Rhinolophus ferrumequinum: one gene and its partners. The protein of the gene in region 3 binds, or shares a complex with, the protein of the main gene of each other region. Links are inferred from orthologs where the notes say so. Each region holds a gene or a part of one and is shown on either strand. Other genes may lie near its edges.

The links.
Region 1: the proteins of STRN3 (region 3) and SIKE1 are in contact, whole or in part, in a crystal structure (PDB 6AKL), measured with the Homo sapiens proteins. The link is inferred for Rhinolophus ferrumequinum from reciprocal best matches to the Homo sapiens genes STRN3 and SIKE1. Residues at the interface, in NP_001077362.1 of Homo sapiens: Arg176, Leu179, Tyr182, Leu183, Val186, Tyr188; in NP_079349.2 of Homo sapiens: Glu96, His97, Ala100, Leu103, Ile104, Ser106, Lys107.
Region 2: STRN3 (region 3) and PDCD10 share a complex: the UniProt entries of both Homo sapiens proteins name them as parts of the core of STRIPAK complex. The link is inferred for Rhinolophus ferrumequinum from reciprocal best matches to the Homo sapiens genes STRN3 and PDCD10.
Region 4: STRN3 (region 3) and STRIP2 share a complex: the UniProt entries of both Homo sapiens proteins name them as parts of the core of STRIPAK complex. The link is inferred for Rhinolophus ferrumequinum from reciprocal best matches to the Homo sapiens genes STRN3 and STRIP2.

Annotation. Positions count from the first base shown.
Region 1 is NC_046305.1:45,449,435-45,457,078, forward strand, and holds the start of SIKE1 (suppressor of IKBKE 1), read right to left. Parts: upstream 3,119-7,644; 5' UTR 3,056-3,118; coding exon 2,897-3,055; intron 2,654-2,896; coding exon 2,548-2,653; intron 1,655-2,547; coding exon 1,512-1,654; intron 333-1,511; coding exon 219-332; intron 1-218.
Region 2 is NC_046285.1:74,137,354-74,144,984, reverse strand, and holds the start of PDCD10 (programmed cell death protein 10), read right to left. Parts: upstream 3,099-7,631; 5' UTR 2,947-3,098; intron 1-2,946. UniProt on the Homo sapiens protein: Promotes cell proliferation. Modulates apoptotic pathways. Increases mitogen-activated protein kinase activity and STK26 activity. Important for cell migration, and for normal structure and assembly of the Golgi complex.
Region 3 is NC_046289.1:80,004,077-80,011,748, forward strand, and holds the start of STRN3 (striatin-3), read right to left. Parts: upstream 3,107-7,672; 5' UTR 2,805-3,106; coding exon 2,523-2,804; intron 2,405-2,522; exon of another isoform or gene 2,092-2,404; intron 1-2,091. UniProt on the Homo sapiens protein: Calmodulin-binding scaffolding protein which is the center of the striatin-interacting phosphatase and kinase (STRIPAK) complexes.
Region 4 is NC_046309.1:16,878,914-16,886,821, forward strand, and holds the start of STRIP2 (striatin-interacting protein 2), read right to left. Parts: upstream 3,380-7,908; 5' UTR 3,342-3,379; coding exon 3,207-3,341; intron 1-3,206. UniProt on the Homo sapiens protein: Plays a role in the regulation of cell morphology and cytoskeletal organization. Required in the control of cell shape. Calmodulin-binding scaffolding protein which is the center of the striatin-interacting phosphatase and kinase (STRIPAK) complexes.

The DNA of each region.
Region 1 (7,644 bases), on a different chromosome or scaffold from region 3:
TATTTCAATTTCTAGCCAATACATAGTTGGCATTTTCATTGTTTGCCACTGATTATATTTCCTTTTTTGAAAAGGGTATGGAGGAGGAGTTTTAATTTTAAATCATGAGCACACAGAAAACATCAATACATTGCAATGATAAGATAGTAATGGTATACCTTCCAGGCTCTATGAAAACTCCATGAAATATTGTGAATTCAAAACAGCAATAATCTTACCTCTAATTGGGCTAGTTTTTCCTGAATCTTACAAAATTGGTCATCATCCACCTGAACTGCTTTCCTCATCACTTCTCCCATTTCACAGATTCTGTCAATCTGACTCTCAATTTCCTGGGAAGATATTAACACAAAAAAAGGTGAAAAAGTCATCTTTCCTACAGATAGGAAGTTCATGAGAACATGTGCAATACGATGTTAAAAAGTTCATTGAATTATGCTACAGGTTACACAGGAGTTTCACTGAGTCCTCAGAGGTGAAGCCATGATCAAGTTATCTTGTGGTATTCACAAATAATTTGTTTTCAAAAGATCAATTCTAGTCTAACCACCCACTGGATGTTGGACAATATCTCTTAACTGGCTGTTTAACTTAAATTAGAATATTGGCAAGCTCTGCATATTCTAAGGTACCTTATTCTGTCTATGTACTTATCTCTTAGAAAGTCTTTCATGAGCTAAATTCTGTGTCCTTCAAGGTTCAAGTTTTCTCCTCTAGTCTAAAGAAAATAAAGTTTATTTTTCTCTTCTAGATGAAAGCCATAAACATATTTAAAACATCCCTGTTCCCTAAGACTTTTGTTAAGTCAGTAAAATGTTTTCAGTAGAACCTAAGAAAACTTTTCATAAATTCCACTGTAGCAAATAGTGAGGCACCATTCTATTAAGCCAGGATTAAATGATTTAGTACATGTGAATACACAATGACAACTATGAAGCACTCTACAGACAGAAGAACAATTACTGGGTCTCCCAAATTAAGTTATGAACAACCAAAGTGTAGAAACTATACCATGTATGTATTTTTAAACCATACTTCTCTCTCTTAACAAGAGTGTGCTCGGTAGCTCAGTTTAATAAAGGTTTACTGACTGCCTGCTATGTGCCAGGTACTATGTTAGGGATAAAAGATGAATTCATACTTCTTACAGCCAAGGAGTTTACAGTGTAGTGAAATGTGCAGTAATAACCCATCAAGTATTTACTCAGCACCTTCAACACTAACTGGCATTATGTTTGGTGGAAGAACTAAGCATTCATCAACATCTTGGAAAGAGATCTTGGTGAGGGAAGGAGGAACCTTGGTCCTACTCAAATAAAAGGACTTGAGCAGCCCCTCACCTCCTTCTTTCTATTCATATCTTGACACAGCTATAGCAAAATCAACAGCGAATCTAATAAACACGAAAGGAAAACACACTAACTTTTCTTCAGAAGCAAGCACACAATCGAAAACAATTCCAAGATTTCAATTTTCAGTTCACTGAGAATTTACTCCTCAAAGTGACTTACAGCAGAGTGAGACTGGTGAGCTTTCAGGACTGGTTCAGCATCCACAGCTTTTTTAGCAACCATTAATTGTAACATCTGTTTCCGGTACTTGCTCATGATGAGTTCCAAAGCATCCTGGTGTTCCTCCAAGGAAACCCATAGCTCTATATCAAAAAATGAAATAACTTGGCAGTGATGCCTGAAAGATAGCTCTCAAAGCCAAGCCAAATTCTTACCAGTTGGAATTGTATGGCACTCCATGAGCTGTTGTTACTCCAAAGTTGTAAATCAGTGTTCAGCTCCACAAAACTCAACAGTTAAGGTCTATGTGAAACAAAACTTTCTAGGCAGAGGCAGCATAGTTTGGTAGAAACATGGGATACAGAATCAGAAGGCATGGGCTTGAGTTCAGTTCTGTGAGTTACTAGCTTAATGCTCTTAAGCAAATCACTTAACCTCTTTGAACCTATTTCTTATCTGCATTGTAATAATACCAGCTTGTTTGAACTCAAAATGAAGATACAAGAATACAATGGGATGACCTATGTGGAAACCCTCTGTAAACGAGTATACAAATGACTATTCACAGTCATTAATAACGTACTCATCCAGACCAAGAATACATTCCCTAAAGTAAAAAATTCAGCTCTCCCACCTTGCACAAGAACATTAAAAATACCTTCGATCTTAATTTTAGTACTTATTTCAATTAATATTTAAACATTGAATTTTAATCCCTTGAGGATATTAATTCTTTTGTTGTGCAAGCCTCCAACTGGGGAGGCCTAAATAAAGCCACGCAACAATTCAACTCTGCTAAGCACCTCTTTGATAAGCTGCCTACAAATAAAATGAGTCGGACAACCTTGAAAAGAGTAATGTAACAAACTTTATTGTTACCGGGCCAGCACAGGGTAACGCTCTTATTAAAAGTAGTGACCTGGAAGTACATACAGCGTGTGCACGTTTGTGAACAGGTCGGCAGGTTTGCAAGAACTTTTGAATTATTACCGGATATAACAAAATCATAGTAACTCCACAAAAAGGACTGACTAACCTCTGTTTTCCTGCTGCAAGTCTCTAATCTGTGTATTCTCTTGGGACAGCAGAATGTGAGGTTTGTATTTGGACATGTCCTTTATATCGGATGCATCCTCTTGATACTGGACAAACAGAGACAGACGAAGCGCGCCGTCAACAGAACAGCCGCAGATGCAGGAACCTAAGAGGCAGGAGTCAGGGCTCCGGCGCAGCATTCTCATCCCCGACCCCGCAGGAAGCTCTCACCGCCGCCCTCTGAGACCAGACAGAAGACATTCCAGGCCAAGTTCCCACTCGACCTCGCCTTCCACCTGTCAAGTGCCCAGAACCTGAGAACACGGACCCGTCCCTACCCTCTGCCTGACCTGGTCCGGAAGCGCTGTGCCCGCCTCCCGCATAGCCGCTACCCGCCGGTGCAGCGCCGCCGACTGATCCACCAGCGACTCGGCGGCCGCATCGTGCTCCCGCAGCCTCTCCAGCAGCGTCTTAGCGTCTGTCAGGATCTTCTCGATGGTGCAGCTCATAGCGGCCGCGGGACCACAGCTCCAGCGCTGCTCCCCTAAGCGAACCGCTCGGCTCCTCCCCCACCTGTCTCAGCGGCAATAACGTCACTTCCGGGTACGCTTAAAAGGCGCCGGGGCAGCCGTGAGATGCGCCTGCGCGGTGGCATCCTACTCCTCCAAGGACCCTTTCCTCAGTGGCTTCCCTGGGCCCCGCCCTTGGCAGAGCCTGAGGCCTGCCCTCGCCACGCCCTTGGTTTCCTGTTCCCACAGCCTGGTGGTGGAGTTTTAGCTGGGCGGTCCCAGTTTCTACTTTCCCTATTGGTTTTTGATAGATGTGGATTCTTATTAAGTCATCTTTTTTCCCCCCATTTAGTTTTTGAAAAATCGTGGTCAAATACACCTAAAATTTATCATCTTAACCATTTTTTAAATGTACAGCTCGACAGTATTAACTGTATTCACCATGTGCCACTATCACCACCATCTATTTTTCTCCAGAAATCTTTTCATCTTGCAAAACTGGAACTCTGTAGCCATTAAACATTAACTCCCTATTTGGCCCTCCTCTCAACCCCTGGCAACCTCTATTCTACTTTCTGTCTCTATGAATGTGACTACTTTGGGTACCTCATGTAAGTGGAAACATACAAATCACATTTGTCATTTTGTGACTGGCTTATTTCACTTAGCATAATGTCCTCAAGGTTCATCCATCCATGTCACAAAAAAATTTCCTATCTTTTTAGGGCTGAATATATCTATCTATCTCACATTTTGTTTATTCATCCATTGATAGATATTTGGGTTGCTTCCACATTTTGGCTACTGTGAATAATGCTGTTACGAACATGGGCGTACAAATATCTGTTTGAGTCCCTGCTTTCAATTCTTTTGGGTGTGTACACTGAAGTGGAATTGTTGGGTCATATGATAATTCTTATTTTAAAAATTTTGAGGAATGACCATAATGTTTTCCACAGTGGCTGCACCATTTGACATTTTCACCAACAGTGCTTAGTGGTTCCAATTTCTCTACATCCTTGCTATTTTCGGTTTTTCCTCCACACTATTTTCTGAGTTTTTTTTTTGTTGTTGTTGTTGTTGTTATTTGATAGTCATCTTAATGGGTGTGAGATGGAGTCATTGTTTTCTGTTTGCCTATATCTTCTATTTTAATTCAATTAATAACTTGAGGATAAATTTAACCAGAAGAGCAATGACTTTTGTGCTGCTTGTTATAATGGTTTATGAGTTTACCTTGTCAAGCTTGTACGTCAAACTTTGTTCTTTTTCATTCATTACTTTAGTAAATATTTTTGGAGAGCCTTCTTTTCAGGAACTGTTTAGTGTCTGGAAATACAGCATTATCTTTGCTTCTAAACCTGTTCCTTCTCCTGTTTCAGTAAAGAGCACATTTATACACCTATTTGCTCAAAACAGAATCCTGGAAGTCATCCCTTACTCTTCCTACGAATTCTTTACACTAATCAGTTACCAAAGCAACCTATCTCTTTTATATCTTTGGGAGATATTTCCTTCTTTGTATTTTCACTGCTACTCACCCAGATGAAGCCACAGTCTTCCAGCTGGTCTTCTCCCTACCTCAAGTCATCTCCACAGCTCTAGCACAACCCCTTGCTGCCCTTTCAGTGGCAGGCAATTATCTTTCTATGTACCACCCACATTAAGACAGAGCAAGACGGGTCATACTAATTCCCCAGTGACACTGATAAACAATTACTCTTACTTGCGATGTAAAACCTCCACATTATTTAAAGTTTGTATCATCCAGCTGAAGAATCTTCTATCTCTCCTTCTGACTACCAATGATTAACCTTCTACCTTGAATATTCCCCTTCATTCATAGAAGATTTCAGGAGTTGGCTTATAGTCTTTTTGATTAATCCATGTGTGGTTCTCACCTTGGATGACATTCATGTCCATGGGGACAATTCATCTAATGTTCTATCCTTCCTCAGCCCCCTCAGTTCTAGAGACATTCAATTTTTTTTTTCGGTTACCTATGGCCAAACCCTTGATCATTTACCAAAAATTGTTCCTCATCAGAAATGTTAAGCTTTACCATCTAATTCTTTGACCACAGCCTTTGTTTCAACCTGTCTAGTTCTTGCAACCCTTTATTCCACTACTATCTCTGACATCATCCAGCTCTCCGATTTCTGAATATATCAATATTCCCCCTACCTATCAGACTCTTTTCTTTCTTTTTTAATTAAAGTTTATTGGGGTGACAATTGTTAGTAAAGTTGCATAGATTTCAGGTGTACAATTCTGTATTGCATCATCTATAAATCCCATTGTGTGTTCACCACCTAGAGTCAGTTCTCCTTCCATCACCATATATTTCAGACTCTTTTCTTGTGGTCTAATTTTCTTTCCCTGACCAGACTGGGCTCTTATGATTGGCGGTCAGAACCATTGTCTTTCTAACATCCCTAATTTCTTTGCACCTCTCTTTTTAAGCCAAATGCAAGCAGTTAACTCTAACCCTTGACCAATCCAATGATTCTAGTAGTGGTTAAAAGGGGATACAGAAATAAGAGAGGGTTCTTGTTTATGTTTTTTATTTTGTTTTTATGAACAAGTCTTGAGCATGCTTATAGGCTTTATAGAGGAAGGATCCAATCAAGAAAGAGATACAAGGGCCGGCCCGGTGGCTCAGGCGGTTAGAGCTCCGTGCTTCTAACTCCGAAGGCTGCTAGTTCGATTCCCACATGGGCCAGTGGGCTCTCAACCACAAGGTTGCCAGTTCAATTCCTTGAGTCCCGCAAGGGATGGTGGGCAGAGCCCCCTGCAATTAAGATTGAACATGGCACCTTGAGCTGAGCTGCCCCTGAGCTCCCAGATGGCTCAGTTGGTTGGAGCGCGTCCTCTCACAAGGTTGCCAGTTCGATTCCTTGATTCCCGCAAGGGATGGTGGGCTGCGCCCCCTGCAACTAGCAATGGCAACTGGACCTGGAGCTGAGCTGCGCCCTCCACAACTAAGATTGAAAGGACAACAAACTTGTGTTGGAAAAAAGTCCTGGAAGTACACACTGTTCCCCAATAAAAGTCCTATTCCCCTTCCCCAATAAAATCTTATATAAAAAAAAGAAACAGATACAAGAGAGTAGGGGACATTTGAGGGAAGAGAAGGGACACAATAGCTATTTAATAGACCTTTGTTGATTATTTATTAGGATGGTGGGCTGAAGAATCTGGATTTGAATAGAATAAGAAACATTTCATTCTCCTTAATTCGAAAGAAAATAAAAAGGATAGATATAAATATGGATTCGAGATGGGGAAACATGAAATTGAAGGGACCTGTAACTTTCAAGCCATCCCAATACTTCTGCATCCCACCCATCAATAAACCAATAAGATAAGCTCAGGCACTTCTAGTGCTGTTTATGGGTATTACACAAACTGCCCAAGACCTCTTTTGCTTGTTCTGACTTATTTCCATTCTGACCTAATTTCTGTCTGGCTCCTGTTTCTCGGTTCCATTTCCTCTTTATTATTTCACTCTTACTCTTTTGGGTCAGGAAGTGATTTTGGGTCTCCCTCCCTTTATTCTCAGCTCTCAGATGGCCCTATCAGCAGTTCTACTTGTGCCTCTCTCAGAGTATACACCTTAGCCCAGTGATCCTCCGATGATCCAAATGCCAAATGTGACTCCTACACACTTACATGAACTCTAGGGAGGGAGACACTTGGACATTTTTCTAGAAATACCTCTTCTAGTACCATGCCCATTGCTGTAGCCACACCACACAGACAGGTAACAGACTTACTCCTTTCCCTGAACCTGAGAAACTCTGCTCAGAGGTATGAGAACACAGGGCTCTGGGAGCAGATGGTGGTTTCAATGGTCCACAACAGAGACAAGGGCAGAGATATTCGACTTTACCTGACCCCTTGTACCCCCATGGCTTCTTTCAGTGATTGTCCACACATATATGTCCCATATTGCATTTATTAAATACCCTATTTTGCTCCTTTTTCTTTCTACATGGTGAGTTTTGAACTCTCAGACCTATTTTTTCCTGTTGCTGCTAACTAATGGCTTTCTAGGACTCAGCCTTGAAAAACCACAGACCCTCATAATTATGGTGAAAGAAATCTCAACAAGATAGGGAGAAATGTTTAGTCTTCTAGCATGTCAGAAAAGCAGATATTAGTTTGTATTATAAAATTTTCCATGTGAATGTTAATTCTAATTAAGAGGCACTCTGACTTTAGATATTGTTGCTGTAGCCTATAAAAGTAAACTTTAATATCTACAAAGTCTGTAATTCTGATTGGTTGTCTTACTTAACTTAATGCCCTGGTAATAATATTTAAATTGACATCCCTATTTTCTAAAAGATTTAAATACACTTGGTTGTGGGTTGAACTGTGCCCCACGAAAAGATATGTCCGAGCCGTAACTCCTGGTATCTGTGAATGACCTTACTTGAAAAAAAAGATCTTTGCATTTGTAATTAAGAAAAAGATCTCTAGATGAGATCATCCTGGATTAGGGTGAACCAGAAATCCAATGGCAGATGTCCTTAAAAGTGACAGAAAATGAGAAGACACACAGAGACATAGCAGGGAGAAGGTCA
Region 2 (7,631 bases), on a different chromosome or scaffold from region 3:
TTCCCTGATGAATGACATTTAAACTGAGACTTGAAAATTAACTAGGAGTTGGCCAGAATTGGGAAGGGGAGGGGAAGCAGTCCAGACATGGGCAATAGAACATGTACAAAAACTTCCAAGTCAGGAAGAAATTTATGTATACAGTAACTAAAAGGCACAGTAAATGAAAAAGGCTGGGAATAAGGATGGAGAGCTGGATAGGAGTCAAAAGATAAATTGTCAGTACAAAGAGTAAGAGGATAATAGTATTTGAGTATTGAAGTCATTTTAAATCTTTTTTCTTATAAAATAAACAATCTAAGGGAACTAAGTCTACAATATTCAAGCTTTGCAATAAGACGACGTAGATTATACCTTCATCACCTGTGACCAGTTACATGACCTTGCACTTAACCACTCTGAACCTCTACATTCTCTTTGTGAGCAGGTACTCACTGTTGTACCTACTGGGAATACATTAATACAGTCCTGTTTTTATGACCTTATATCCTTAAAGAGAAAGAGATAGATGTATATGGGAGACATCCTAAGTCCCGTAAGAGATGATGTCCAAAGGCTGACACAAGGCTCCTACAAAACCCAAAATGAGAATGTAGACATTGGTAAACTTCAAACTACTATAAAAATACAAGTGTACACATAATTCTGTGAACTCTAAATTATTCAAAGTGCAGATATCCAAAATGACCACAGCACCCCTGCATGTGACTGAAAGATGATAAATACAATAGAAACATTATTCCACCACTGCAACGTAGGTGAAATAGTATAACTATAATGGAACTCCGAAAAGAGAAGTTAGTGATAGAACTGAACCAAGGATAAACACTTACACATTCTGAACAAGTGCATTATATTAATTGCACTTATTTCCAAATCTTCCCAATTTTTAGTTCAAAAGCTCATTCCACAACCTCTTACCTGCATGTGAAAAGTTAGAACTCATTTCACACTTCCCCCAATAAAAAGCAAATGCCTACTCTACCATCTAGAAAATACATTGACATTCTTGCTTTACTGTCACTGTCTAATGTTTATGGTCAAAACTATCTCACCATTTTAATATAGCACAAAGCCAATTATCCCCCGATAATTTTCCATTTGTTTAGTTGCTCTTCCTTGCTGTCTGGTACCATTATTCATGGTACCATATTATGCCTGATTTTACTTCATTCTATAGTACCATACCTCCCTTCTATTTTAAAGGTCATATTAATGTCCAGACCATCTTAACTTCAGTCATTGGGAAATGTTAAAATCTCTGATTCTAGAAACTGTGCACTCAGAAAGTAATAAATGCAGAATACATACAAATTGCAGTGTATTTCAAGGGTCAACTTATATAACAGTAAGCCATGATTGATTACCGGCTATCTGTAGATACCTAATTCTTATTTATAAACTTACTATGAAGAAATCCTCATGTCAATGAATATACTCCAAAATTATATTAAAGAACTATCCAATAATATTCAGGAGCTATAATTGGTCATAGTAACCATTATATAGGATAGGACTGAAACAAGTACGCTTTCTGCACAATATAAAACAAAATGTCCTATTTTTTCATTCTTTAATGTACAATGATGTGTTAAAAATAACAGATGACACTAAGAAAAATATGTAAAAGCCTATTGCTATTTACACACACAAACATCCCAGAACCAAGAAAGAAGGGGAAACGTAAATAAAAATCAACAAAATGTGATCTTACCTGCAAAAAATGCAACTTATCTTTTTTTCTAGTAAAGCGTACGTACACTAAAGTCTCTCAATGCTGCATTATTTGAAAAAAGTGCAAAATAAGTTTTGTGAAAGAATTCCAATCCCACTGTTGTTAGTTTTATAAAATGAGTAAAAACATTCCTAAGTTAGGAAAAGACTATCTTCTAACTGTAAGGATGGGATATACTGTTTAACTGACATTCTCCTATATCATTATCTACTATTTAAAGTGGTAGTACAGTCCATCATTTAATATACCCGTAACAAAAGAAAAAATATGTAAGTTGAAGTCGATTCTTTATTCCTTATTTTTCCAAAAGTTTAGTGTGTGTCCTTCTTTTATTCAGGAATTTCTCCCCAGTTCAAAAAGTCTTCACCTTACAAACGCACTCTTAGAATTACATAAAATGCATTACTTTGCAACTTCCTCCACCCTCTTCAAAAAACATAATCAACTCTTTCTTTCTGGTGCAGCAACTATGATTCAGTCTGGGCTACAACTGGATTGGAATCAGAAGATCTGTCTCTACGTGTGTGACCTTGGGCACCTCATTTATCCCCTCCGTTTCCCCATCAGCATCCCAAAGTGAATGCTCTTTGAAAACAGTAAAGGTGTACAAACGTAGCTTAACAATTTACATCTAAGAGGGGTAAGGTTTTCTGCTTAGGGCAAAATTACCTCCTTAGAGGGGCCACATCATGAAAATGGAACTGAATCTGTAGGTCTCTGTCAACATTTGACTCTTTTTTACAGTTCTCCTCTTTCCTCAGAGGGTATAACCTGAGTCACTCTAAGAGAAGACTCCCAACGCCCTCTCCTTTCCCCACTCCTTCCCCACCCTACTTCTAAAGAGGGGGGAAACAGCAGTCTCACCTCCCCTCCCAAGCCACACCTTTAGAGGACCCCACCCCAGACACATCCGCCTTCTCCCGTCTCCGGGGCTACAAGAGGCCAACCTCGCCCTTCCCCTCCCGCCCCCACCTAGAGGAGACTTCCTGGAGGCGTTCAGGCCCGAGCAGGGCAGGCGGCATTTACAAACCCGTTTTACGCCACTCGCGTAGGGTAACCTCGCTTACGCCCATAGGGCCCCGTTCCCAGCCCCGTCGGCTCCGCCTGCCAGAACCAAGCCCCAGCGCCTCAGTCAGGGCCCCGGAGTAAGCCCAAACCTCTTCTGCTCCGCCCGGGGCTACAGAGACTTGGACAGAACAGCCACACCTTACCGGTAACTGAGGCACTCACTTCACTTCCCACCCTGGAGCCCTCTTCAACTCCCGGATCAATTCACTCCGGCGACGCCGGAAGGACCCGAGAGGAACCAGGCGTTGTCCGGAATCCTGCCCAGCCGGAGTCGCGCAGGGACCTATGGGGACTCGTAGTCTCACTCACTGACGTCTTCGGCAATTGCTGCACATACAAGACTACAATTCCCGGCAGACAGTACGGTGGAGCCAAAGGCGATGGGTGGGGACACTTTTAGCCAATAGTAAGAGAGTTCCCTGCCTCTGCGGGAGGAGGTGAAATGAAGAGAGAGGATGCACGGAAAGAGGAGGAAGGGAGGGGTCAACTCTCACCTGCGCCAATCAGAGTGCATGGTCGGCCCCGCGGCAACTCACCCTTTGTGGGGGCGGTCTAGCGGACCAGAGGAAGGAAGGGGGTCAAGTGTGGGGGGGAGTTCTAAGTAGGGAACTTGGAAAGGCTGATCTGTGGACGCTGCGCGGACGGAGAGGGAGCACCGGGGGAATCGCCGGGGTGGAGAGAGGGCGCGGTGTGGGGATGCGCCCGGGCGGGAGGAGCTGCTTCCCCGAAACCTTCCGAGCCCCAGGCACACCAGGCGACCAGACCTGCGGGTCGAGGAGGGCTAGATTGAGCCTGGGCTTCTCTCGAAGGCGCCAGGGCGGGGCGGGAGGCAGCTCCAGGTGTGAGGCCAGGGAACGAGAGAGGGTTCCCCAGGGAAAGGGAAGTGGCAGAACAGCTGCAAAAGTGCAGGGAGCGGGAAGATAACCGGGGTAGCAGCTTCCCACCGCCTCCAGCAGGGGGAGGAGCAACAGCTGCCGAATTCACCAACTAGAGGAGGGGGAGGCGGAGCTTGGGTCCCTGTAGCAGCTGAAGGCGCAGCCCGGACTGTAGTTTCCCGGGAGAGAAGAGAGCAGGAGGAGCGGAGCGGAGCGCAATCCTCGGAGCATCAGCTCCCGCATCCCGCCAGGGGTTGCAGGTGTGTGGGAGGTAAGCGCGGGTGCCTCTTCTGGCGTCCGCACACTGCCCGAGAGAAAGCGTCTTCCAGTAGGAATTATATCAAGGCACAGCTTAAAAGAGTCTGACTCGCGTTAGAGAACTGGTGCAAACCCTTTTAGGTAAAATGTACAGTTTTAGACTTTGAAGGGGGAAAAAGGAAAAGGTGCTTGACTTGGGTATAAAGGGCGTGGTTAGTGTTTTTGGTATGAGTTGTACCATGAAAACTGTTCTGGGATTGAAGGAAAAACCCTGCTAATTGAGAACAAGGATGCTATCAGGATAGGTGCGTAGCTGGCAGGAAAAAAAAGAATGTCATGGAACAGAATGACTTCAGAACTCTCCCTAAAAAAATAACTTTGCATTCTTCAATGTCTACCTACGCTTTATGTTGTTTAATCAGATTATCATGCTACCGACCTGTTTTCTAGGGTGGTTGTACGGCAGGTTCCTAGAATTGAAAGAGATCTGTGTTAAAGAAGCAAATCCAGGCAGGAATAATCAACATGACTGAACCTATCAAAAGTATAACTTTTGCCAGCAATAATGTAAAAATGTGTTTTAATAAATGGATACTTAGCTTTCTTTCCAGTGGCTCTAGATGTTGGAACAAAGACCAAGACTCAGCCTATACAGTAGGAACATATGGTGTATGTACTATATGTACATCGGTGCTCCTTAGCGTCTCATTGGTGTCTGTTAATATTTGTACATTTTAAAAAACAAAAGTACAAGAAGAGCAGTGCTAGGATCTTTTCAGTTTAGAGAGAATGTACTAATTGATCACCCTTAGTATGTGTTATGATGGATTCAGACTTAAAACACAGTTAGTAGTATAAAATAATACTTTACGGTTGATATTAAACCATGTTTCATTTCTTTGACTGTAATTAAATACCTATGGATGAAAATATGTTTCAATAGGAGGTAAAGATGAAAGCCGCATGTACCTTGATGTAACAATGACAAAATCACAGCCTTTTCTTTTTAGAAAGTATGTAAAAAGCAATTTGCCTAGTTCTTTTTCTTCTTGTTACAGAGGTTCCCCAGATTACATAGCTTTTAATCATAGTAGCATATTGCAGCACATTTTGCTCTGAAATGCTTTCATTTTGACAGTTGTATATTTCAGAGTCTGCCTGAGTACTTTAATCTGGATTTTTTTCAATGAGGGTCAATAAAATGGAGTAATTACCTTCTGTTTCTTGTTTTCACGTTTTCCTGATTTACTTAGGATTTTTGGATTTTATTTCTGTAAGGTACACAAAAATTCGTTTTTGAAAATAAATGGCTGGAAGAAATTCTATTCATAGCTTAAAGTTCATTCCTACTGAGTGCTACTACTGATAAGCCCAAGTGACTTATCAGTGTATTTACCCCTCCCCTCTGGAGCCCCTTCCACACCACCGGAGAAATATATAGACTGACAGATCTTAGGGGAAAAAACTGGCTTTTAGATTGTCCCCAAGCAGATCAGGTAAGTAGTAGAAGCAGCAGAGACCTTAGAAGAAAGAAAAGCCACAGTAGCCACTAAACTTAGCAGCCATGGTAAGGATCCCATTTTATCTTTGCTACATCACTGGAGAGTCTTTTAATCCATGTAGCTGATAGGACCCTGTGAAAATGATTGTAGGGGGATAAATGGGGCTAGGGTGTACTGAGGCTTGGAAAAGATTCTTTACCCTTATTATTTGTGATTGAGTAGATTGTACTGAATCTGTCTTAGATTCTCTCTCAGGCTCTGCTGTTGATTCATTTTGTGAAATTGAACATTTGCTGTCACTGGCTTATTTCTCCCCTGTAATAATAATAATAATAACACTGGCAATGAAGTTCTTTCAGAGCCTTTATTAAAAGATCTTTTTGAAAGAGTTTGGTTGGAGATTGGTTAATAAATAAATGGGATTGAAAATAAACATCAAACTTGAAATTCAGATGTGTTTTGATCCCAACTATTTATAGGTCTACTCTGATAGAATATGGGATAAGATAGAGTATCAGTAGGAATGAATGAGTTTGTGCTTGTTTCCAAGATTTGAATCCTTTTTATTTTGTCAATGTAAGAGATTAGGTTCCTATATCATTTGACAGTAGAAGATCATGTTTTTATAAGGGAGAAAATCATTAGCAATATATGATACTTGAGTATTTGTTACCTTGAACTCATGACACATTTTAAATTGATGTTCACATTAAATCAGATAATCTGAAGACTTCTTGAGTGTATGTTCCTGGTGTGGAGAAGGTTTATTATGTGACAGTTTATAATTTTATGTAAAGCACTGCTTAGGTTAAAAGCATATTTATTCTCCTGATTTTTACTATTTGTGTATGGCTATCAGTGAATGAATATATGACAGGATGAAAAAGAAAAACCAAGGAAGTGCAGAATTTCTCTCTTGAATGGAAGATACTCTTGGGATTAATGTTCTTTAGCCAAAGGATTTGGTTAATTTCAAATTACAAAATATATTTTGGGCTTCTTTTTATTTAAAATTTTGACTCTTAAGCCTATTGAGTAGCATGGATTTCTCTAACAAGAGGATTCACTGATGCATGCAGCACTTTAGGTTCAGGATCAGATCAAAAGGTTTTGGTGGGATGGGGTGGGGTAGGTGGTTTACAAGTGGGGATAGTTATGAAGAAAACTGGGAAAGATATCCTTAGCAAGAGAAAAAAGAGATTAGATCTTTGTTTTGTTAAATGCCTGTAAGCAATTCCATGGTTTTCCCTCCCTCCACCCCACTCATTAATTTCTAAAGGCCTATATCCATAATGATACAGTACTTTCCTATATCATTTTAACTGGAGTCAGACTGATAGTGATTCATGAGATTTTAAATAATCATAGGTTATTGAAGCAAAGCTGAAAAGATTGTGCATGCATACAGTTACTTCTAATTAAACTTAACTATTATTTGGACATACCACTGAAAAGAAATAAAAACCTAAAATGATGTTTTGCTCCTTAATAACAGAGGTAATTGAGCCAGACCCTAAAACTGAGCAATAGCCACCCCACCCCACCCCACCCCCGCACCTTTAAAGCAAATGCCTAAGGTTAAACACTGCTTTGGGGATCAGGATTAATTATTATACAAAGGTAAGGAGTTATTTTTGTACTGTTTTCAATCTTACCTCTGATGTTTTCAGAATTAAGTCCCTCAAGTTTGTTGTATTTTAAGTAGCTAGATTATTAGCTCCTGGAGACTATAATTTTTTTCTGTGTCCTGCTGGTTCTGAGCACCTTATATCATGCTCAGCATAAAGAAGTAGCCCTATAACCACTTACTGAGTTAGAACCATTAACCGGTACTTCTTTAATGTATGCATTGAGACATCTTGCACTTTGATAGACAAGAGTCAGTTGACCTCACAGAATAATTACTATACCTTAGGCCTACTGAGAATATCTTTGTGCTGGTTAGCTTTTGCAAAACTGTCGATTGAACTCAGTTTGATTCAGACAGTGTGGGCTGCAAAAAGACTTATCTACAACTTTGTCTGCCAGTGTTTCTAAATTCATCCCAAGCATAGGGAATATGGGTGAGGGAAAAGGCTCTCCCACCAGTGGCACTGTAGGGTCTGCATTTTACAACGAGGGTAGCGTGTGTGTGCCTCACCACCATTTTACTTTAAGTAAATATCTTTGTTAATGCTTATCTATAAAGAGCAT
Region 3 (7,672 bases):
GCTTACATATACAACATGTAAGCTGTCTTACTTTTCATCTTTCTTAAAAATAAGTTTACAGTTTAGATCTACTGATGCTTCTTTAAACCCGCCCAATAAATTTTTATTCAACACATGCATTTTTAAATGTGCACAAGCAATCTTACTAAAGACTGACCGCACCTAAAGTAAATTTAATATTCCAGAAGCAAATCTGAAACCATCCTAAGTAACCCAATAAAACATTGCCGAGAAATATATAAAACAGAAACACATAAACACAATCATGAACATTTTATTCCAAAACAATCAGTATGAAATAATGAAAATCCCTGGAACAAATTAAGAGTTTAAAAACACTGTAGAACTTCTTCAAAATAAGCAAAGAAACAAAACACTTAGAATGGCTATATATCAGAACAAATATGTCAATAGTTGATCAACTGAAAGCAAACAAGTAAAAGAAATCTCCCTTAAAAGACTTTTCTGTTACTGTCAAGGAGAGAGTAAGGAAAGCAAGAGGGAGGGCAGACAATATAGACCTTATTAATGTATATATTTTACTAATTTAGACAAAAGACATTTTCTCAGCTACTTACATTAGTGAAGCTTATGAATGACTAATGCAATTGCAAACTTAAAATTGTATAATCCAAGCTTTCGTACAACAGTACAAAGGTTATAAACATGTATCGGGGACTGGTGAAGTATTATTTAGTGAGCCCAAGCCTCAATGCATTTGCACATGCAATTTTTAAAAATAAATGCTTTACTATCTTCATTCACACAGAATATTGTTTGTAACATGGTGTAGTAGAAAGCTGTATATCAACAGAACTCTACAAATCCCAAATATGTTAAAGCAGACTATACACAAGTTAAAAGAAATAAGACAATTTTGACTTAAGCTTTTGGAAAGTTACATTTTTAAAAGGCCAGTAGTACATCAAAGCACAATTCTAAAATACTGATTCGACTAACAGGTGTTAATTTATAATTATTTTTTTCTCGACTTGATAGTGTCAAAATATATAAGTATTCTCACTTTTTAAAAGTTTAACTTTGGCCACTTTATGGAGTCAAATAAAAGTTTACCAGTTCAAAATCAAACTGAAGAGTTATACATTTGTTGAAGGACATCCTTTCTAAATTAATCCAATATTCCTTCTTTACACACATTTTCCTAACTATTTACTGTAGGCATATATGACATATATGTCAGCTAGCAATACTGCTTATATTCTAAATATACATCAGTCTGAAAAACAGGTGCGACACTACTTAGATCCACGCTTTTTTTCTTCTAAGCCTAAATTTGACCTGGAAAGGATTCAAAAATAAACACAAATACCAAAAAAAGTTGAACAATCCTTTTAAAAAGATTCTGAAATACAAGACATGAACCCTCAAACTACCAATATCTTCCAAAAGTTAGTTAAACCAGCCTCTCCAAGTTTCTCCTTAGGAGGATCAAGTCAGGCTTAATTGTGAAGGGTCCTGAGGATCTTTAACTTTGCTTCCCCTCAGAGTTAGTAACGTGAGACACGTTCGTTTCACTTCCAGCTAACATTAAATCTTTTCTCAGTCGTTTCACAAAGACAACACAGCTAAGTCTAGTTTGGCTTTTTATGGGTAAAAATGGGGGTGGAGGAGGGGGAGGCCTCCTGAAGGGTACCCTAAAACGAAACACTCAGTACAGGCATACCTCGTTTTATTGCGATTTTTCGCATTATTGCGCGTCACAGATGCTGCATTTTTTTTTTTTTTTTTTTACAAATCGAAGGCAAGACCCTGCACAAGCAAAAGATTGCTATTCGCTTTATTGCGGCGGTCTGGGAATAAACCGCAATATCGCCGAGGTATGTCTGGAGAAGGCTTGCTGAGTCAGTCGCTAAAGAACTGACTGGGAATCTAAAGTGATTACGGCAGCATCCCAGGTAAGAAGGTAAAGTTGGAGGTAGGAAATGAAAAAACTTCACAGTTCAGCGGCGAGCCATTGTGCTTGGTAGTAGCCCTGGAAAGAAGCGTGGCTGTCAAGGGGCAAGTGCGTACCAACTCCAGAGGAGGGGGCCAGACGTGCCAAATCGGAAAGAGGGGTGATCCGGGAAAAGGTGGTAAAACGCCCATCCCAGTCCCTCTCCCCGAGTTCTCCATCTCAAGAGGCACAAACAAGAGCAAGCTCGGTGTCCAGCAGCCCCACGCCGAACTATCCCACAGAGAGGAGCTCAGCCCCAAGCCCCGGAGGCCCGGGCAGGCCGCCTCCGAAGGAGCCCCCGCAGACGCCATACTAAAAGCCAAAATGGCTGCCCCTAGGAAGCCCGCACCGCGCAGCTAGTGAGGCTTGGGGAACAAGCTTCTGCGGGAAAGGGGAAGGAGGACTCTAGGAAGCGCCGTGGCCAGGTCCAACGCGCCCCGAGCCACACAGGTAGGTCCCTCTAGTCTTCCCAAGGCCGCGGGTTCCCACTGAGGGAAGTCCCGGCCCCACCCCCCCACCGGGAACCCCGCGGCCGCAGCCGTCCCACACACCGACCCCAGCGAGGTACCTGCAATTCGGCCCGCTCCACCTCCCAGTGCGCCCGCTCCATCTCGAACCGAGCCCACTCGTGCTGGATGTAGTGCAGGATCCCCGGGATAGTGTACTGCTGCGGCCGGGACAGCTCGGGGCCTGCCGCAGGACCCGCTCCTTCGGCAGCCGGAAGACCCCCGCTGCCCGCCGCTCCATTCCCCCCTGGCGAAAGGCTCATATTCCCCCCAGGTCCCTGCTGCTGCCGTGGAGGGGCCGCCATCCCCGGGCCGCCACCACCGCCTCCGGCGAGCTCGTCCATTGTGTGTGGGGCCCCGGCCGGGGCTCAGGGCGAGACGCCGACGGCTGGGGGAAGGGCCGGGGAGGGTGGCCCCGCGCTAGTGGCGGGGCGGAGGCCGGCTGGGAGTGGGGCGGGGAGGGGGTGGTTGCTGTATGCCTGCCGTGGGTCAGAGCAGGGAGCTGCCGGCCGCCGCCATTACAGTCCCTCCTCCATCTGCCCGTCTCACTCACTCACTTTAGGGAAAGGGGGGGACGCGGCGGGAGGCGGGGAGAGAGGGCAGGGTTGGGAAGGGGATAGACGTAGGGCCGTCGCTCCCGCGCAGCATGCCGGGTAGAGAACGCCGCTGCTGCTGCAAGCCTAGTAGCCAAATACAGTCCGGCCTCACCCTACGCAGGCGCACTGAGGACGCCGTCAAGGTTGCCGTTAGAGGCGGGGAAGGAGCTCCGGCCCCGCCCCTAGGCCCGCCCCCCGACTCGCTCCGGGTGTCAAGCGGAGGGTACCGGATAGTGGGCCACTGACTCCAACTTTTGGAAGCGAGTCGGTTTCTGGCTTCCCAGTAATCAGTTTCCCTCGTTCAATCAGCCCCTAGGCGCCGTTCTCCACCCGAGGGTATCAGCGACGTGCCTGCCTTTGGAGCTGGGTTTTAACCTGGCTGATCGCTCTGGCCCGCCACTGCCAGTCCCGGATTCCTGACGTTTCTTTTGCATTCCTAGCGTGTTTCAGGCAGTCCCAGAGGGTCGGACCTCTTTCTCTGCCTGTCACTCGCTCTTTCTCTAGTTCTTAGCTCCGGCTAGTTTCCGGGACTTTAGGGACGTTCTCTTGTGGCAAATAGCCCAGATCCTTCCGGACGTGGTGAATGATTCCCCGTCTCCGTTTCGAGCCCCGGCTTTGGTCCCAATTCTGTCCTCCCGGTCGCCGGTCGCAACTTGTTCCACTTTGCCTCCCCTCTTCTTTATGATTCTGGGTTGGGTTGTGCCTTGGGGATTTGGGAGGAGAGCAGGAGCGATTGTTTTTCTTTTTTTTCTTGAGAGGAGGGGAGGTAATGAAAAAGTTTAGATCTTTAGATGGTGGGTAGGAGAAAGATAACTTTGAAGGAGACTGTTGAGACTAACAATTTGATGTTTTAGAAGTGAATGAACCTTGCGAGTGTTATCATTCATAGCAGAATCTCTTGATGGAAATAAATGAAAGCATTGTGAATACAACTTAGAATCCTAGATGAATGACTAAAGATATTTTCTTGGGTCATTAAATGTCTGAGTGAATGTAATACATAAAAGTCAAGGTTAATCTTTTAAGTACCATGGTGTTTTTATGTGCTTAAGTTGCCAGGAAACATCCTTAATGAACTAGTAAGTTTCTAAAAGTTAATATAGCTAATAACCATTTGGCTGAAAAATAGCACAAAAATAATACTTAACAACATAATAAGGAAAAGAGGTTTAGTAATTACAGCTATGCAGGAAACTTGCATATAAAATGGATTACATTATTTTTTTTTTCTTCTCTACTACAAAGAAAGTTTTCTCTATGGAATATATATGACCAGTCAGGGTATAATTTCAAAGAGATAAAGTAGTACATCTTATTCTGTCATATCTGCTGTACTGTTACAGTTTAATGAAAGGCAAATTGGACTTGTCATCCATGATACGAAATTAGGTGTAAGGTCACAGTATTATCAAGAATTATTTCTCCGTATTATTAAGAACTACTTCTCCCCATTGTTAAAGTACTATTTCAACATTTTGTAGGGACCAACATACAACCTGCTTATTCAGTCCTGTTCCTTTTTGAGGGGCCTCATAGCACATAAAAGTTCAGAAATCCCATGCTACCTCAAAACCTACATACTAGAAACATTTGTGAGAGGATGTGGCATCAACAGAAGCAGACATGCACACTTATATTTCCCACGGGCACCTCAAGCTCAAGTAAAGACTGGATTTATAATCCTTTTTTTCCCTCCGCATTCACCTTCAAAAACAAAAACTGCTCCTCTTCTGTTATCTATCTCATTAAGTGACACTACATTCAAACCTGAGGCCTGGCAGTCATTCTAGTACCTTTAACTCAGCCCCCACATCCAACCTCTTTCATATCTATTCCATTATCTTCATTCAGTGTCTTAGGTTAAGGCTTCCCACCTTTATCCTTCCCCTGTCTCTCATGCCACTGATGTCAGAGTCATCTTCAAAAGGCAAATCTGATCCTGTCATTCCCTACTTAAAATAGTTTAGTGATCACCAAATTTAGAATAACGCTCAAATTTTAACCTAGTGTATAAAGGTCCTTCAAATTCTAGATACTCCCTACCGCCTAATCTACCATCACACCATCATGGCACCCCATTCTCCTTTCCGGCCAAACTGCACTGTTTTTGGTTCCTCAAATGTATAGTAATGTTTCATTCCACAGGACTTTAACACATGCTGTGCCCCATGGCCTTTCCTTACCTTTTTCCTTCAAAACCTAACTCAAGTATTACTTCCTCCAAGCTTTCCAAATCCTTGAATTATTTAGAGACCCCATCCTAATAGTATCACATGCTTAGCTCCTAGTACATATTACACTGTATTCAAATTGTCTATGTACTGGTCAGTGACACTCATCCTGATCACTGTGAAAGCAAGACCTGCACATAACAGGTACTGCAAATCTTTGCTTCACTCATTTATTTTTTTTTAAAGATTTCTTGACTGGCTACTATTTTTCAGATACACTCCTAGTCCCTGATGGTCCATTGTGAACCAAGGACATAATCTCTACTCTCATAGGATTTCCAGTCTAGTTTTAGGCAAATTACTTAGCACCAACCACCATAGCTTTCTTAATATCTGTCCAGATCCGTCTTAAAATCATTTCTTTTAAAATTTCAAGTGTGCTCCCTATTTGAAGAATTCCAGTTTGAACATGTCTACATTCACTTTAACCACGGTTTTATTAATGTCAGTGTAATCCTTCGCCATGTTCTTCCCAGATCATAGTCATTTATCTGCAGGATCCTCTTGTTCACAGCTGTACCTCCAGGGTCTGGGACAGTGAGATCCCAATAAATGTTTGATGAATAACTTAAAATTAGACTAGACTAATATAAATATTTTTCCTTCCCCTCAACCATTTTTTCTTAGTTTTTGCTAACATTATAGCAGTTATCACTTAAGGTTCAATGACCAGAACTGAGTATTAAAACTAAAGAACACCAGTATTTTCTACTCTGTAGAGAGAATTTTTTTAATTATTTTTTTAAATTTTTCAATTATTGTTGACATACAATATTATATTAGTTTCAGATGAGAAAATATTTTTTACATTATTGACGTTGTGCTTTGTGTCTATGACTCCTGAGGACACTCTACAGTGAGCTCCTAGAATCTTGTCTTCTGTAGGTAATGAGCTTCCCCAGGCCATATTATCACCTACAGCTCACCTAACTGGAACTTCCTCCCTAAACTGTGGCTGAGTCATTTCCTCTCTTCAATGTCATCTTTGAAACTTCCTAGTATTTGTTCTGTCCTTTCATCTGTCTGTTCATTCCTCCTCCATGCCCATTGATTCTCTCAGTTTTAATATACTACTGATGATCTTCGTGAATGCTGCTTCTATCTTTAATCAGTTTGGAATTTTAGGGTGGTTTTTTTTTCTTCCTCATTATCTAATCCTAGACACCTGTGTGCTCACTCTATCTGACCAAAAAGGGACTTGTCCTATATCATGTACATGTCCTATATCATGTCCTATATCAAGGTATGTTAAGGAATTCCAGGCTTTTAAATAAGTTCAAAATAGTCAACACTCAAATGTCTTCTTCTCAATTTTATATAGTACCTGATGTGCAAAGTTCTGCCTCTGCCTTTGAGAACTATATAGTGGCCTGTAATCACTCACCTGAATATCCAGTTTTATACCTTGCTGACTTCTAACAAAGAGCTCAAACTGGTTCAGAAACACTAATCTAGTCATCTTTTTGCATCATCTGAAAAAGTTATAACAAGTATTATCTCCATAGGAAGGAGAGAAAGCTGAGATAAGAGTTCTGGGTCACTTCCATAGTTCCCCAGTAGACTAAGAAGTGGTTCCGACTCTTACATCGCTGAGTGTATATGTGTATTTGCAAACAAGAAATAAAGGCTCCCTTCACTATTCTGCCTCCTACTGTCAATGGGCTCAATATTGCTTTCTCTGGTTCCCATATTATATGCACTTTTTCATTTCTGATTTTTTTGTCTGTTAAAATTTGTTTTTTAGTTATAGTTGACATACAATATTATATTAGTTTCAGGTATCCAACATAGTGATTAGACGTTTATATACCTTATGCAGTGATCACCACATCATTTGCACTTTTGAAATCCTTTTTAGGTAGTTTTGAGGTGATTCAGTCACTTGGGGAAATGACGTAGTATTTACATGTATAAATATAGAGAACAAATGAATATAAGAGCCCAGAAAAAGATCTTTGAGAAGAGCTGGCATGTGTTCCAAAACCAAAGAAGCAAACTGTATAATGCAGATGGAACAGAAAAGGAGGAGGCAGCTTTGACCGGCACCATGGTTTGACCTGCCAAATAAGATCAGGTATCTACTTCTCGTTACAGTAGTTGCCTATGGCTAAGAAAATTGTAGAAATACATTGCAGGGTATTTGAACTATTCCAATAATATATTGTGTGGTAAAGAAAAGGAAAAGGATCTTCACAGGTTATAGACAAATAGGCACCAAAACCTTTAGAAAACTCAGCATGCTGTATAAAATTCTAGTTCAAGTCCACTCCTGAATTGTCTCCTGGGTAATATGAGTCAGAAAGCGGTAAGCTGTGATAATATTGTATAATAGCTAACTCATAGAGATGTCAAAATTGAAGGAAATGAAACAAAGGATTGCCTGGA
Region 4 (7,908 bases), on a different chromosome or scaffold from region 3:
TTTTGATTTTTCTTTACTATATGCATGAAGCTGTAATAAGATTAAATTTTTTTTCATATTTAGGATCTTTCCTGAGGATAGATTCTTATAAAGGAAGGTAATGCATCAAACCCTATGAATATTTATATGGCTTTTTGTACATGACAAGTTGTTTTTTAAAACCACTTTATCAATTTACATTGCCTATAAGGCAAATCATGTTTAAATCCACGATAGCAAGAATTTTCAAACTTTTGCATTACAGAGACCAGTAAGAAAAAAAGGTGGAGGGGGGGAATGACATAAGGTTGTGGATGTTTTATTCTGGTAAGTACAGACTCAAAAAATCTTTTAAAAAATATATTTCAAAAAAGAAAGAACAGTTTAATACCCCCAAAATGGGAAGGACACACTATCAGAATAAAAGAATCATTAAAAAGCAGTGTTCTTCAAACCTTTTTTGACTGTAAATCACAGTATAAATAAATTTCACATCATGTCCCAATACACACACACACACACACACACACACACACACACACACAAACAAAGTTAAACAAAATATATTTACCATTACTGTATGTGATGCACTGATGTTTTCTATTATTCTATTTCTTAAAAAAACGGTCTCAACTCACAGGTTACCCGCTACAGTTTGAAAAACACTGTTCTCTGAGTGAGCACACAATGTGTATTATAGAAATGTACACTTGAAACCTATGTAATTTTACTAACCGTTGTCACCCAATAAATTTAATAAAAAAAGAAAAACACTGTTTTAAATTGCATACATCCTTTACATTTAATGTACTGAACTATATTTTATGAAAAACTCACTTTAATGCCCTGAATTTTCCTCATTTTGCCACAAACTTTGTCAAGGACTTTGGGAACCAATTAAACCAGGGAATCTGGCTGGTAGAGGCCTGAGGTGAACTTAGTAGGTTAAGGATCTGTTTATTAAGCAAACAATTATTCTGTAGCTTCATTTTTAGCTTGGAAGTTCATACACTAAGGCATTGGGAGAGAATAGGTCAAGAGTGCTGTCCAAGGAGCCTCTCTTGACTGGTGCCAACAGTAATTCTCTAGAAGCCCTAGAGAGGAAAGAAAACCATCTCCCCTGAGGACGATCTTTCCCCAGGAAAGCAAAAGGAGGGCGGGAAGGAAAAGCAGATAGGCATCTGAGCCTGGCACCTGAGTATTGTGGTAACAGGGGATGCACTGACAGGTAGAAGCAGCTCTCCTGCTGCAGAGCAAGGTGGAGGAAAGCTAATCTTTCCAGCCAACCTTTCAGCAGGCACTGAGCCCAGAGAGAGAGGATCACTGCAGTTGTTCATTTCCAAGCATGAAAAGTGCAGCTGCAGACAATCAGGAGGTAAACTGCGATGCAGGTGGAAAGCTCTGAGTCTCCAGATACTGACCTCACTGGCAAGGTCAAGTACGTAGGTGCCTTTTCCTGAAGGCAGACTTGATAGGTAGGCACAAGGCCTCCGACCTCAAGAGGAGTTTTAATTCCCCCATAGAACATCTCATTCTGAAATTATTTTATTTACTTGCGTATTGCCTCTCTCTCCACCCCCCACTAGAACATTAGCTCCACAGGTCAAAGACCTTATCTTGTTCATCATTGTATCCCTAGCACCTAAAACAGTGCTGTGCGTATAGAAAGTCTCAATAATTGCTGAATTAATGAATGACTCATCCTCCCAATAAAACATCTGAGCAAGAACAATGTCTCTAGGGGGGAAGGAGGCACAGGGTCCCCTAAAAGGCCAGCTGGTCCCCTGCCTGATCTAGCAGGAAGGAGGGCTGAGTTATGCCTCTGAAAGGTGGTATGATTTGGAGCCAGTCTTTTCACCTCCTCCACTTCTCTTTTTAAAAATGGTGTGGATTCCTACTCGTCTGTATCAAAATGGAAAGCACACATGAAATCCCTTTGGAAACTGTGAAATACTATTCAAATGGTAAACCCTGGACTGGGAAGCCGAAGACCTGGCCTCTAGTACCAGCTCTGCCCCTTGATGATGGTGATGACGATACAGGAAGTCCTAAGAGCTACTCTGCACTGACCCATTACCTGCACTGTGCCTGCGCCGAATTAAACATTTTACATTCAATTATCTCTCTTAGACTTTATCACAACCTCCTGAGGCAGATAATGTTAACCTCATTTTACAGATGAAGAAACTGGAGCTTCTAGAGGTTTGGCAATTTGCCAAATGCCATCCAGAGAGTAAATGGTAGGGCTGGGATTCAAAACCTGGTGGGCTGACTCCAAAGCTTGGTGCTCCTGGCCACTATGCCAGATGTACGGTCTTGGGCCAGTCACTTCGGTCTCTTTTACTTCTGGAAAAGACAGGGTTAAACCCAGCTGATCTTCAAGACACCTTACATTTTTGTGGTCTATTTTCCTGGTCCCCCGTCAGATCCAGTTCTACTCTGGACGAGCTGATGGAGACTGGCTGGATGAGGGGGTGGAGGAGTGATGATAATCCGCTCCTTTCATCCTCCTGGTTAGGATTTCTTTTCAGAAGAGGAAGCCACCCGAACACTCATACTCCTATCTGTGGGTTTGCTTCCTGGGACACTTCCATCCACTCGCTCCAGTCCTGCCCCCGCCTGATCCTATCTCATTAACCCTTGCAGGTGGGGGTCCTGATGTCGGTGGAAGGGGCTCCCTAAAGCGCCTGCCAGCCCTGGGGGACGGGGTAGGAGGGAGCGGGGAGGGCAGAAGGCGCGCGGCACAGCTGGATCGGCTGGGGGAGCCTTAGGGTGGGAGAGCGGCTGCCCCCCACGCACGCCCCTCTTCACTGCGGCGGAGCTCCGGCCTCCCACCCCTCAGGCCAGTCAGTCAATCTCCCCGCGCTGGTTTCCTCCTCGGGAAATCGAAGATACCAATTCCCACTTCAAGGAGCTGCAGCGACTAGTGGGATAAATATTTGACAAGTATCTGGTACGCTCGCTGTGGAGCTATAGCTTGCGCCCCCGGAGCGGAGGCCAGAAGGCTAGAAAGCCCCAGACCCGCCGCAGGAGACGGGTGCAGAGCGGTCAGGGGCTGCACAGCCCAGAGTCCAGACGGCGGACTCCGCAGGCGCCCGCTCCCAGGGGCAACCCGGGGCGCGCCCGGGGGTCCAGGCGGGGAGGGAGACGGGGCCAAATCACCTCAGCCACCGCTTCCCGCCTGCCGGCGCCTCCCGGCCCCTGTTTAAGCTCTCCGGGCTCCTCACCTCCGACTCCCGCCGCTGGCTTCTGAATGCTTCTCGGCCCTTAGGCGCCGCCTGCTTCCCTTTGCCGCCGCCGTTGCCGTTGCCGTTGCCATTGGCGGGCTGACTCCCGGCCCCCGATGCCGCAGGGTCCTCCATGCCACTCTGGTCAGCGGCTCCCTTCAGCTGCTCAGCGCTCTCTGCCCGGGGCGACCCTGCCGCCCCGCGCCGCCAGCTAAGCCCCGCCCCCTCCACGGTTATTGGCTGCAGTCGCCTCCCGCAGCCCCGCCCCGCGGCACGATTGGCTGTTCGACCACTCGGAGCGAGACTTGGAGGAGGTGGGGGCTCATTCAAGGGATTTTTTTTCCTGGTCTTTTTTTTTTTTCAGTCCTGCGGCGTTGCTGGTAGCAGTAGACTCCCGAGTTGGCTCCCAGCTCCACCTTCCGAATTCTGGGCCTCTGCTTTTCACTCGGTGTCCCTCAGCATTCAACCCCTCCCAAATAAAGACTAGACCTTTTGTGGGGAGCTCTGTCTCTCCCTCCTGCTCCACTGCAGTCACCGTTTCCCCATTACCACAGACCTCTGCCCTCGAATCCCGGCTCCTGCAAGTGTCCCGAATCCTGCTTCCGTCGCAGGGGAGGGATGGCACTGCCGGGGGGCCAGGGACACCTGAGGAAAGGAGGGACTCGCCCTCACAGAAAGCGGAGATTTCTGTAGAGAACTCATCCCTCAGGAGTGAAGTTTGGTTGGGAGACTAGGGGTTGAGGGGGAAGGTGGGGACGTTTTACTTCGCTGAAACTGCTAGTGCCTTTCAAGGCTGCTCCCGGTCATCTGCTTTTTTCTGCGGAAGTGGGCACCTTCCTCATGGTGTGAGCTAGGGAATAGATGTTGAATGGAGAGCACGCCCCCGTCCCCACCTGCTCCTCAGTCCTTTTCTTCATTCTTCTAAGATCCTTCTTAAGGGCTCAGTGTTACCTGGGGCGAACGAGGCTGTGTGACCTGCCCACTCAGAATTTATCTAAAAAGCAGTAAATGTTTAGGCTGTCTAGGTTGGTAACAGTAACCCTAAACAAGTAGCCTGAGGGGAATCCTGGGACCTGCGGGGATTGAACTGCCACTTTGTTCCAGGCATTGCACCAGGCACTTTCTAGGTATATCACACCTCTCGCCCCTAGGTTGCGGAAGAATCGTTGTTGCTGATGAGGAAACCGGGAGGTACTCCTTGCAGTTCTCAAGGTATCATGTTCCGTCTTGTCTCAGTGTCTTCCACATGCCCTATTTTCTCCCTCTGGAAGAAACTTTCTGTTCTAATCTTGACTGACTTCTATTCTTCTTTAAAATTCTATTTAGTCATCACCTCCTCCTCCAGAAAGCCTTCCTTTTGACCCTCTTCAACCCACTCAGGCTGTGTTGGTGTCAAGCCAAGTCTGCCTGGATCCAAAATCCTTGTATTTCCTATGACATTCCCAAAGTAAGGAGCCAAAAGGAATGACTCCCCCTTGTTATGTCTTAGGTACAACTCTGTCCCTTTCTTAACCGTGTCTCTCCCTCACACTTTCCTCTGCTAGTCAGTGACAGATCAAGGCAGAGTTGAGAGAGCAGGCACTCCTTGGAGCTTTCTGAGTTTCTTTCTCTCCTGGGTCTTCCACATCTCTTTACTGTACCCTCCCAGCATTTTGGCTTTCCTACCTCTCTTAGCCCAACCTGGATCTAAGCTCCTTGAGAGTAGGGCCAAGTTTTGTTCATTTTCGAATGCCTCATTTATGTATGTTTAACACAGGGTTTCTATACTATTAACTGAAAAATTATTGGTTGTGGGGGGTTGTGCCTTGCATTGTGGGAGGTTTAACAGAATCCCTGGCCTCTCCTCACTAGTTACCAATAGTACCCTTCCCCTAGTGTGACAATCAAAAATGTCTCCAGATATTGCAAAATGTCCCCAGGGATTGAGACCCACTGGTTTAACAGAATTGAATTGATAAGAATTTCCAAGAAAGTCCCTGGCTCAAGGCCTAAACTATTTGATTTTGGAATGTTTTCAGGGTATAATTTGTTAAACTCTTATTAAAGATTCATACTCTGCTTTAAAATTCACAACCTACACCTAGCTCATCACTGCTTCAGTGTGGTGAACCTGCCCCAGCACAGCCCATTGTGGTTTCTTAATAAAAGAATTATTCTACCTACCCTCTTCCCAATCTCCCCTCCTAAGCAGCCAGAGTTCTAGGAGTGACAGACCCAGAACTTCATGTTCCCTTTTGTGAGCCTAGTCAATCAGCAGGATCCCCAACAGTGGTGGCGAACAGGAGTGGTTATTTTTGAGGCTTTGCTCCTTTTCCAGCCTACCCCTGGGGCAAAGGGAGCTGAGTGATCTTCAGTTGGGAATAGGATTAAGGACAGCTCTCAGGTCCTGCACTAGCAGTTTCAGCGAAGTAAAACTATGTACAACTGTTTGCTGAGCCTAGAGCTCCATCTGGCTCTACTTTCAGAGACGGGATTTGAAAAATTGGTGCTAAGGAGATTGCAAAGAATCAACATGAGAGACCTCAACCATTATTTTTTCTACACCCAGTGGAATGGGAGACAGTAAAGATCAGACATCTATCTGATCATTGTAGGCCAATGTTCAGAGGAGGCCGACGTTGTCATAAAGGAGGAAGATATCCGGAAACAATTCTTGGAAGAAGTGACAAGAAAGCACAGATTAACTGAAAACTTTGAAACTACAGGCCATGGAGTTGGCACACACTCAATTTCTTTTCGCTTATTTGTCAACAAAGAAGTGACAGTTAGCAGTACCACTGACCACAGAGATACCCATAAATATACCTGGGAGCTAATTAGGGCTGGTCTACAAGTTTTTCCATCTTGCAGAGATGGCTCCAGTGCTGAGTTATTTTTAAACCTACACTACCACTTTCCCTTATCCCAAAACTCAAGATTTCCTGAGGCTGCTGGCAGAGGGCTGAAGGTATAAATCGAACCAAACATACCCCTTTCCCCATATAATCACTCCACTCTAATCCACGGTCAGATATGTGATTAAATAGGTAACTCCTGGCACTGAGAAAGCTTAAAAATAAGATGAAGGAAGTCTTCAAATATCTAGTTTTTTAGGATATCGGGCAGCCAGAATAAAGCAGAAAAAGGATAGAACACCCTCCTTTCCTCATCAAGGACATGGGTGGGGGCAATAAGAAAACATCTTGGAAACAGGTTGTAGAACTAGTTCAAGATGTCAACTAAAGTAACTGGCTGTCAGTAAGCTACTTGAAAATGGCTACTCTACTGGTAGTTGAGAAAGAACAGGCAGTTGGATTCATGCTCTGGTTACCGAGTTAGTCGGGCAAAACCTGACTTAGAGACAAATCTCTGCTAGATTCAGGTCTTTCTTCCTTTTGGTTGGATGTTGTCAGGTCCTGGGTGGCAGAGTTGTTTGGTCCCAAACGGTGGGATGCTAGCTTCTTCTGTACTCTCTAGCAAAGGGCAATACCTCTCCATGAGAGGGCTTGGGGAACCTAGAAACAGGCTTTAGTTTCTCTGCCGTAAGCCCATATTTCTCAACTCCCCGGGGTGGTAGTGCTGAGAAAGCAGGTTCTGTATACACATAACTGGGGGTCACGGTGATATTTATTCGTGAAATAAGGGACTCTTACAAGGCTGAGGCCAAACATGTCTATTGGTAACTCCTGCAACTTTTCACATCCTTGCCCTACAGTCGCCTCTCTAGCCTGTTGCTCTGAAACCTTTCTCATCTCTGAATTCCTAGTTCACAGAAGCAAGGAATACTCTCAAGACAGGGATGCATTTTAAGAATATTTTATTTATCTTTTGAGATTACATCGTCATTATTGCTGATCTAATACAATCACTTAGACATAACGATTTCCAAGAGCCTCTCAGAAATGGTGATCCTTAAGAGGTTTTATTTCCTTTCAGTAAGATGACAATGAGAACTAGATGATTATTTTATATAGTATATATATGTATATATGTATGTATATATAGTTTAGAACTTGTCCACATATAATTTGCTGGTGTTGCCTATTTTCTTTCCATAATTTTCCTTTATTAAAAAAAGCTTAATGCAACAATGCATTTTGATTTCTTTTTTAAAACCATGACAAAGTTAATTTTGAAAAAAAAATCCACGGGAGCAGCAATTTCAGATCTGTTCAGAGAAAAGACAAGCAGCAAAAAAGCTTTGCAGGAGTATGTGGCCATGGGGAGCCTTGCTCACATGGGAGGGAAGAATGAAGAGGTAGGAGGGCAAAAGGAAGGTAGAGCAGATAACTTTTTTTTTTAATAATGAGAAAAAGAAAACAATGGTTCCATTAGAAAGGCACAAAAAGACCTTGAAAACTAGCACAAATTCATCATAGGGAAAATGGTAAAGCCAGGGCCACAAAGAGATAATTGGACTTATTTCCCATGCTTCCAGATACCTAGGATGCATCTAAGGTGAGAGCTTGAGAGAAGAAGACATATTTGTTCTGATTCCAAGGGTTAGAGGAAATAATGATCAAATGCCAATACTAAGGTAGAACCCAAATACTCAGGAAGCCTGGGCCTCCTTGTTCTTAATGGTTGATGATACAGGGTTCCCAGAAAGAAAGAAGTCATCCAAAACGCAGAGGCAAATACCTCACCATGGGCAGCAACAATGGCAACCTAATCTAGAAGCCTAGTGGGGCTCCTCTTTCATTTGGAGTTGGTCTCTTCACGA